Linked DNA regions of Drosophila melanogaster. The protein of the gene in region 2 interacts with the protein of the main gene of each other region in a pairwise test. Each region holds a gene or a part of one and is shown on either strand. Other genes may lie near its edges.

The links.
Region 1: the proteins of Rgk2 (region 2) and cm interact in a two-hybrid assay, tested with the Drosophila melanogaster proteins (one large-scale study listed by BioGRID).

What each region holds. Positions count from the first base shown.
Region 1 is NC_004354.4:7,008,353-7,012,975, reverse strand, and holds cm (carmine), read left to right. Parts: upstream 1-1,830; 5' UTR 1,831-1,884; coding exon 1,885-1,919; intron 1,920-1,988; coding exon 1,989-2,076; intron 2,077-2,131; coding exon 2,132-2,457; intron 2,458-2,533; coding exon 2,534-2,693; intron 2,694-2,749; coding exon 2,750-3,202; intron 3,203-3,312; coding exon 3,313-3,498; 3' UTR 3,499-3,970; downstream 3,971-4,623. Other genes in the region: CG3032 (uncharacterized protein), read left to right, coding at 1-688; sloth2 (sloth 2), read right to left, coding at 882-1,067; sloth1 (sloth 1), read right to left, coding at 1,073-1,158, 1,220-1,373.
Region 2 is NT_033778.4:18,538,104-18,543,021, forward strand, and holds the start of Rgk2 (Rad, Gem/Kir family member 2), read left to right. Parts: upstream 1-1,865; 5' UTR 1,866-2,190; intron 2,191-3,040; exon of another isoform or gene 3,041-4,351; intron 4,352-4,918. Other genes in the region: Pepck1 (phosphoenolpyruvate carboxykinase 1), read left to right, coding at 1-1,042.

The DNA.
Region 1 (4,623 bases), on a different chromosome or scaffold from region 2:
CCACATTCGAGAGGTGCATGCCCCCAAGGAGCGACGCCATCCCTGCGACCAGCCAGGCTGCGAGAGAATCTACACCAGCCGCATAGCCATGCAGAAGCACAAAAGGCTGAAGCACAGTCCGCGTGACCGCGATGCTTTGAAGAAATTCATCTGCGAGCAGTGCGGAGCCAGCTTTAACCAGTCGGCGAATCTTAAATACCACCTTAAGACAAAGCATCCCACGGAGGACGAGGTGGCCGCCAGGGAGGGCGGCGCCGGAGAGCGCCATTTCTGCGACATTTGTCAAAAGGAGTTCCATTCACGATACACCCTCAAGTACCACACTTTGCAGCAGCACGAGGTGCAGGAAGAGTTGCCCCACGAATGCCAGGTCTGTGGACGCCGGATGGCCAAGAAGTTCATGCTGCTGCAGCACATGCTGATGCACTCGAACGACAAGTTGCCCTGCGAGCACTGCGGCAGAAGATTTGCCAGGCGATTCGAGCTCGAAGCCCATGTGAGAGCAGTCCACTTAAAGCTGAAACCCTTTCCCTGTCACCACTGTCCGGAGAGCTTTGCTTCTAGGAAAACCCTGCGGCACCATGAGTACATACACACGGGTGAGAAGCCCTACATTTGCGACACCTGTGGACAGGCCTTCCGGCAGCAGACGTGTCTTAAAAACCACCGGAAGGTGCACGAGAAGTAGTCTTAGCTAGCCTTAGTGGAAAAGATTTTAAAATAGACTGATTAAGTGGAAACGTGGCGTCTTTTGAATGTTCTGGAACAGGTAACGCTCTTCGTAGGACATGAAGGTGCTATGCCAACAACCCTTTCCTCAACAAACAGCAGGCATTCACTTAAATAGCTTTAGTCACCAATAACTTGTCTAGTACACAGTGTTATGCAGATTCCGGTGGCTTTGCGGTGGGATCCACCTGTGTGCTGTGTTGCTCCTGTTCGATGTAGACGCGCAAGTCCTCCAGAGGCTTATAGTAAAGGTGAACAGCCTGCGATCCGGCCATCATGGATGCCAGGGCACAGCCGAGGAATTTCAGGTACTGGCCCCAGGAAACTCCGGCGGGCATTTTGCTTAGTTGGTGTTATTCGCGGCTCGCGCCTGCAGATGCTGCTGCTCTTCCACGTAGTTCTTCGCCTGGCGGCGCTTAAAAGTGCGGTCTGCATGGAAAAGATTCCGTATTAGTAAATAAAAGTAAGGTTTTAAGCGTAGCAGTCTCACAGAAATTGGTCTCGCCCACTGTCCAATTGATCATGGAGAATTCCAGGCCGGCGCCCAGTAAAAAGAAGAGCGGCAGGAAGCGGTAGACACCGAAGCGCTTCTTTCCTGGCCAACTGTCCAGCAGACGACGCACGGATCCGCTGTACGGACTCATGTGTTTTCAGCCGGCGGTTATATAATTCCGTGTTGGTTTCGCCAATTTTAAGGCGAGATTCAAAGGTGCCGTGTTTGTGTATTGCCTCCGTCACATGTGTGCGTTAGTTCTGTATATGGTTTAATTGAAAATGTTTAGGCTTGTTCCTTTGTTTATTTATTATTTGCCAAAAGTAAAGGGGAAACTCCACTTGCCTCACGATACAATTTCCATTTGTTCCGGTTCGCAGCAATCAGCTGTTCGATTAGAGATGAGCGAGTGAGCTAGTGATGAGCTGATGTGATGACAACACAACGTTAGTAAATAAATTCATAAGTTAACTATGTATAAGGCCCCTTAAATAAATGTTCGTTTATTTCAGCCTATCTTAATTTCAATTTAATGAAATTATTTAACAGTTACTGAAGCGCTTCGGGAGCATGGTAGTAGAACACCTTCACGCTGTCATCGCTAATGATTCATCCCTGAAAAAAAAACATAGCTTAAACTAGCAAGCAATTTAGGTCGAATTATGATACACAGTCTGTTTATTGTAAACAGCGGCGGGTAAGCCATACCTATAAGTGAAATGTGAAGACGATGTAATACCCATATACCCATATATCCGCATTTCAGCGAGGTCTTCCTGGAAAAGCATTGGCGCTCGGTTGTCTCGAGATCTGTGTGCGAATACTTCCTTGACGCCCAGCGCGCTGCTCCATATGTGAGTCGCCCGTGCCACGTATGGGTTGTATGCTGACCATATCTCTTTGTTGCAGGATGTGCCGCCGGTGATAGCCACGCCCCACTACTACCTGATTACAGTGCAAAGGGACACGGTGTCTTTGGTCGCCGCCTGCAAGCAGGAGGTGCCGCCGCTCTTTGTCATCGAGTTCCTGCATCGCGTGGTGGACACCTTCCAGGACTATTTCGGCGACTGCTCCGAGTCCGTGATCAAGGACAACTATGTGGTCGTTTACGAGCTGCTGGACGAGATGCTCGATAATGGCTTCCCACTGGCCACCGAGAGCAACATCCTCAAGGAGCTGATCAAGCCGCCCAATATCCTGCGCACCATTGCCAACACGGTGACGGGCAAGAGCAAGTAAGTTGAATGATGCTCCCTCCGTCTTTGTCTTTCATTTACCTTAATAATCCAATTAATAATCCGATTTCCGAAGTGTAAGCACTACTTTGCCCTCGGGTCAGCTGTCGGCGGTTCGCTGGCGCAGAAGCGGCGTGAGGTACACCAACAACGAGGCGTACTTCGATGTCATCGAGGAGGTGGACGCTATCATTGATAAATCCGGATCCACGGTCTTTGCCGAGATCCAGGGACACGTAAGTTTCACTTAAGTCTATAAAAATAATTTCTATCTCTTTTATTTTTTTATCAGATCGACTGCTGCATTAAGTTATCCGGCATGCCAGATCTGACGTTATCTTTCATGAATCCTCGCCTCTTCGACGACGTTTCCTTCCATCCTTGCGTGCGCTACAAGCGCTGGGAGGCGGAGCGCCTGCTCTCCTTTATCCCGCCCGACGGAAACTTCCGCCTGATGTCATATCACATTAGCTCTCAGTCCGTGGTGGCCATACCCATCTACATCAGGCACAACTTTTCGATCAAAACGGGTGAGCAGGGGCGTCTGGACCTCACGATTGGCCCGAGGAACACCCTTGGTCGCACCGTTGACAAGGTGAAGCTGGAGCTGACCATGCCGCGGTGTGTGCTTAATTGCCTATTGACGCCGAATCAGGGAAAGTATACCTTCGATTCGGTGACCAAGACGCTGTCCTGGGATGTGGGACGGATCGATGTTTCCAAGTTGCCAAATATTAGGGGATCGGTAAGAATAACTATTGAGACCCTTTACACTTTTACACGATTCATGTATCTAACGTCTTAAATTATTTATATTTTTATCCCATTAATAATATACTGTCCTTGCACGCCTAGGTTTCCATTACGCCCGGTACGACCAACATCGATGCCAATCCATCCGTGAATGTCCAGTTCCAAATCTCGCAGCTGGCCGTCTCTGGGCTAAAGGTAAATCGCCTGGACATGTACGGCGAGAAGTACAAGCCTTTCAAGGGCGTCAAATACCTGACCAAGGCGGGCAAGTTCCAGGTGCGGATGTAGACAAAATCATCATCCGGATTCCAATTCCAGCTTTAATTAATAGCTAACGTTAAGTGTATTCCGCTTGTTTTTTTTTTTTTCATTTGATGTTCTAGCCCTCGTCTCTCTCCCTGTGTATCTCATTTATGTATCTATATCTCTACCCATAAAATATTAACTTCAAGTGTAGTCGCCTTGTCGTTGTTCTTGGACGCCGTCGCCATATTCGAAGAGTAAGAATGCGAGAATTGATTGGGAATGAAGTTGCAAGTCTTCGAGTGGCGTGGCTTGGCATGGCATCGCATGGCAATGGCACCGTCGACTGCACTGCACTCCAAGTCAAGTCACTCCACTCGATCGCAGTGCGCCTGGCAACAGCCAGCGAGGAAACCAATAAATTCAAATGAAAATGCAAAACTTGATTTTGCAGCCAGGCCAACGCATTTAGCATACGAATAGTGTGTATACATCTTGTTTATCAATGTGTGTGAACAATGCGAAGAAGTAGAGACTCGCTAACGTACATTTCTAGGCAAGAGTGCTGAAAAGTGAAAGACTGATCAAATTATCGAGTTGTGACATTACACTATACCCCACGCATTTTGTTAAGAAGAAACCCAAATTCAATTTCTATTTGACTCTTCAATGAGTTTTTCGTTAAATCCCTATTAGAATCAGTTTTTTTTTAATGCAATTAACAAGCACACGAGGTTTCACTGTGTTGCCTCGTTATCTCCTTCTACAAGCTTAGCTGCATTTTTGCCTCTGGCCGAGACCGGTAACCGGTTTGCCCTGCCACGCCCCCGATGCATGCCTTGGACCGCCCCCCTTGACCCATGGCAGCCGCAAGCAGCAACAGCTTCTAGGCTTTTGGGCGCGGCGTGCAACGGTAGCCAACAAGCGCCACCGAAAGGCGACGTCGACCATGGCTAGACATGTTATACACACACACACACACACACAGAGAGAGCCAGCTCTTGAACGGGCACAAAATGTTTGGGGCTCGGACCCCAAACGGGTTGAGAAAATAACTCAGATTTCGAGTCCAGTTCGCGAGTCATTTTTCAAGCGTGGGAAACAGTCGTTAAGAGCCAAGCAAGTTCCTTAAGAACAGAATGAAAGGGGAGAGGAGGCGGGGGATGGGGG
Region 2 (4,918 bases):
CGAGAAGAAGTACATCACTGCCGCCTTTCCCTCGGCCTGTGGCAAGACCAATCTGGCCATGCTGAATCCCTCGTTGGCCAACTACAAGGTGGAATGCGTGGGCGACGACATTGCGTGGATGAAGTTTGACTCGCAGGGAGTGCTGCGTGCCATCAACCCAGAGAATGGATTCTTTGGTGTGGCTCCAGGAACCTCAATGGAGACCAATCCCATTGCCATGAACACTGTTTTCAAGAACACCATCTTCACGAACGTGGCCTCCACCTCTGATGGCGGTGTGTTCTGGGAGGGCATGGAAAGCAGTCTGGCTCCCAATGTCCAAATCACTGACTGGTTGGGCAAACCCTGGACCAAGGATTCCGGCAAGCCCGCTGCGCATCCCAACTCCCGCTTCTGCACTCCAGCCGCCCAGTGCCCGATTATCGATGAAGCCTGGGAAGATCCGGCGGGAGTGCCCATCTCCGCCATGCTCTTCGGAGGACGTCGTCCCGCCGGAGTGCCCCTAATCTATGAGGCTCGGGACTGGACCCACGGAGTCTTCATTGGAGCAGCCATGAGGAGTGAGGCCACTGCTGCGGCCGAGCACAAGGGCAAGGTGATCATGCACGATCCGTTCGCCATGAGGCCCTTCTTTGGCTACAACTTTGGCGACTACGTGGCCCACTGGCTGAGCATGGAGAAGCGTGGTCAGGTGCCAAAGATCTTCCACGTCAACTGGTTCCGCAAGAGTGCCGAGGGCAAGTTCATGTGGCCCGGATACGGAGAGAACTCCCGTGTGCTGGAATGGATCCTGCGCAGGGTCAATGGCGAATCCTGCTACGTGGACTCGGCCATTGGACACATTCCCGCCGAGGGTGCCCTAAACCTCGATGGCATGAAGGATAAGGTGGACGTGAAGGAGATCTTCTCGCTGCCCAAGGAGTTCTGGTCGCAGGAGGTCAAGGATATTCGCACCTACTTCGAGTCACAGGTGGGCGCCGATCTTCCGGCCAGCATTTACCAGCAGCTGGACGAGCTATCTTCCCGCGTAGACAACCTGTAAGAAGGATCAATGAGGAGAGTCCCATCTACAGCATCTTTACCTGCCCACACACCTGCTCACCCACTGTGCTATCCCGTACTGACCCCATCACCAACCCAATTTGTTAACCTGTCCTAAATACCTGTCCCCAATACCTTATTTAGTCGTTTCTCTAGTTCTTAAGCCGAAGACTTCCAAACTATTTATTATATAAGCAGCCATAAGATTAGCAAGTAGGCCATACAAACAGAGAAAATTAAAAAAAAAATAAAACAACACGATTTTATAACCTACATCCTATATGAGTATTTATTTATCACAAACTTGGATTTTTGAATGTTGTGAACATTCTAAACAGTATATATACAATAGTTAATATACTAATAAATGCTTTATAGCTGCATGATTTATTTATTAACGCTTCAAACAATCAGTTAAATAGATAAACAAGTTTTAATACGTTTTAGGATTTTTAAATGATTGCTAAATAAATTTCAAATGTTATAATTATAAAATGTGACACTTGTAACTAGTCTTGCTCTTGTTTCATAACTAAGACTTTTAATATTTTTCAAAATCCTAATTTATGGTGTTAATTTGCCAAGATTATAGAAATAAATTAAGTTAAATTTTTCCCACTTGCCTTATATAAGATGAAACCGCTAGATGATTTCCCAATCATCTCCTGCAACGGCTATCCACTGCATTCGCTAGCTTTCCTCGGCTCCATTTTCCAGCCCAATGGAAGGCCGCGAAAAGCTCAACAGTCGGAGCTTTTCCAGCACTTCGGATTCACAGGAATCGGGAGCCAGGAAAAAGGCAGCCAAGAATCGGTGGGCACCACAGTTCAGCTCGAGCAGCCGCCGCCGCAGCTTCGACCGGGCGGAAGTTCGTGAGAGCGGCAGTCGCCAGCGGAAACGGAAGTGCAGAAAGCCCCGAGCGGCTGGCCGTGCAAACTGTTGCTCGTCGGTGTGTGTTGTGCTATTTGTGGTGGTGTTTGTGCTAGTGAATGTGATGGTGATGGTGTACCAGTATCGGTGTGCTGATGTTTGTCGCGGTGGCATTGTTGGTGTTGAACAATTAGCCAAGTTGCTATAACAGACCGAATTATCCGACAAATTTGATGAAAATGGTAAACATTAAACTGTAATGCGGCACGCGGAGTAAAAGTGAGTTTCCCTCTGTCTTAGTGGGTGTGTTTAAATGAGCGCGGGATCTGTGTGTGTGTGTGTGTGTTTGTACGGCACTTTGTAAGCTGCGATTTGACATGTTGATTTATGCGCTGCTCTCACTTTGCCCCCGAACGGCAATTGCCCACCCAACCCCGTCCCCTAAGCACCCAGCCCCCAGCTGGGATTACTCGTGTCCTGTGTCTCTTTCAACGGCACTTCGTCCTTTTTGTAAAGACCTCTCCTTCAGCGGCACTTGTTGCGCTCACAGGACATTCGCTTAATTGCTAATCCTCGCGCCCAGACGCGTCTAATTACACGTAAGTTTGCGCCATTTCTGTCTATCTAACGACGTCACTTTGTGCCCACCCGCCGGCCGTTTAAAGTGCAAATTGGCAGGCGCCTGGGGCATCAAATGTGGATTGCGCGCTTGGGTGGCGAGGTGGTGAGGGGGCTGGGGTGTTTGAAAAGCGGCCCGGAGGTCACTTAATATGCCATCAACATGAGATTTGCACAAATGGCCCCGGCCTCAAGAATTATGTGCTGCAATAAAATCGATGCGTGGGCGGAGCTTCGGGACTCAAGTGGCGGCTAATGACCAACTTGCGACGTGACTTTGGCCAGGATTTGTAATTTGCGAACTGACCAGCCCAGAACCAGCAACACCCCCCTTCCACCATCAGCCGTATACATACTCGTACTCCTAGATCTTAAGTGTTTTATGGACTTTCCCTGTTTGTGTTGTGCACACACTCAGTTTATTTTTACAGCAGAGACAGGGGGTGAAAGTGCCCCGTCGGCATGGGTGGCTGGGCCGGAAGGTGGGGACAGTTGGGGTCTGAATAGTAGGCTGGGTGGGTGGTGTTAAGTATGCGTTTAACGGGTGCGGGCTTAATTACAAGCAAAGTTTACCAAAGGGTTGTCCCGAGAACTTCTCTATGACGCGATGGAGGCCTGCAATTTAATGACGGTCCGTGCAGGAAGAGTCATTACTCCGGCCACCTTGTACTCGAATGAGAAATGATGATGGCCAGCCGGAGCACCAAGGGCGCTAAAGGAAGAGCCGCAGACGGAAAACGGAAAGCGAAGAGTAGAAAAGCGGAAAAGCAAAGAGGTGCCAGTGCAGGCGGACCCGAAGCCATAAACCTGATTGAAGCCCAGCCCACGCATTGGCATTTGTATATGCAAATGGGGCTTAACCCCATTCAAATTATCCACACATCGCTCCCTGCCATGCATAAGTTATGGGCTCAGGTAGCGCAACTCGGTTTAAAGTCAATGGAATCCATCAATAATTCCATCTGCTGCCAGAACCAAGGGCTCACATTTCCTTTAGAATTCAGAAATCTGTAGCAATTATTATCTTACACAAGCTTACCTTTTCTCGGCAACCCATCCGGGCATCAGGACCCTGGTGTAATACAATAAGCTGGCCAAAAAATCCCCTCAAGGCCCCCCAACTCGTTGGCCTTTATGCATACACAATTCCGCATTGAAAAAAGCCGATGCGGACCGAACTGCTGAGGACTTGAATGCGCCCAAAAGAGAACGTGAGTGAGAACGACAGATATTCCTATTGATTTGTTGTCTGCAGATTCTCGCAATGGCGAAACCTGTTGGCCAGAGCGAGAAGGAGTGGGTCAGGTGAGCCCTGGACTCTTGGCCACTTTTCCGTCAACATTTTGTTATCATCCTCGAACCATATCCCCCCCTCGATCCATCCCCATTGGTCGGCTGGGTTCGATTCGTTGCGGTGGCAACACGCCATTATATTACGTGAAATGCAAAATACAACGAAAAAAAAAACGATGGGTATACGGAAAAGCGAAGAGCTGGCAGTGGTAGTGAAACAACAAGTTGCCAAACACTTGAATCAATCACTCGAATAATTGATGCCTTGTAAGTGGAATTTACGAAAAGATTGTCCCAAAGATTCAAGGACTTAAGTGAAAACTTTTAAACGACCAACTTTTCACTTCATGAATATGCATTTAAATTTAGTCCAGACAGTCTACGCAAGAGTTAAGTCACTTTGAGTTTTGAGTTCGGCAAACTTCGTCTCATGAAGTAAAAGCATTATAAATAAAACTTCTCACAAGATGAGTACTCTTATATTGAACATAGCAATATGAAATGGGAATATACATTTGTTTTAGGTGTTAAATCGTTGATAAATCACATACAAATATAAAGTTCCAATGAACGGAACTGAGATTTAATCATCAAAAATATGCCGAATTTTATACGGAATGGAGTACTGAGTGGCATAAAACCGCAAAGGTCCGCATCCAACAGGTAAACTACCAGGTATTCGACTATGGTTATTCCGCACTATTTGCTTTCCCTTATGGGCACGTACTCACGCATATGGATATGTGTGTCGTATTCTGTTCGGGTGTGGGTGTCAGGGCTATTTGTACACACGATAGATAATAATGGCCCGCAGGTCGGACGTGAGCCAGCAGTAGAAAGTGGAAATTCGAACGAGCCACGTGTCCCGGGGGCACAGACAAGTGAACGGCCGGGAGCAGCGGCAACTGCAGCATATGCATGCAACAGCAATGAGGCACGGGAGCTGCGAGCTGCCTCATATAAGTGCAGCAATCGCCACGGGATGTTCCGCTATCGTAAAACTAAAGTGCTGGCCAACATAACCCCTATGCGGGGCATGGAAAACCACTTGCCGGCTCAATAGGAGCTAAAGAAATGGCCATCACTTGCCATCTGC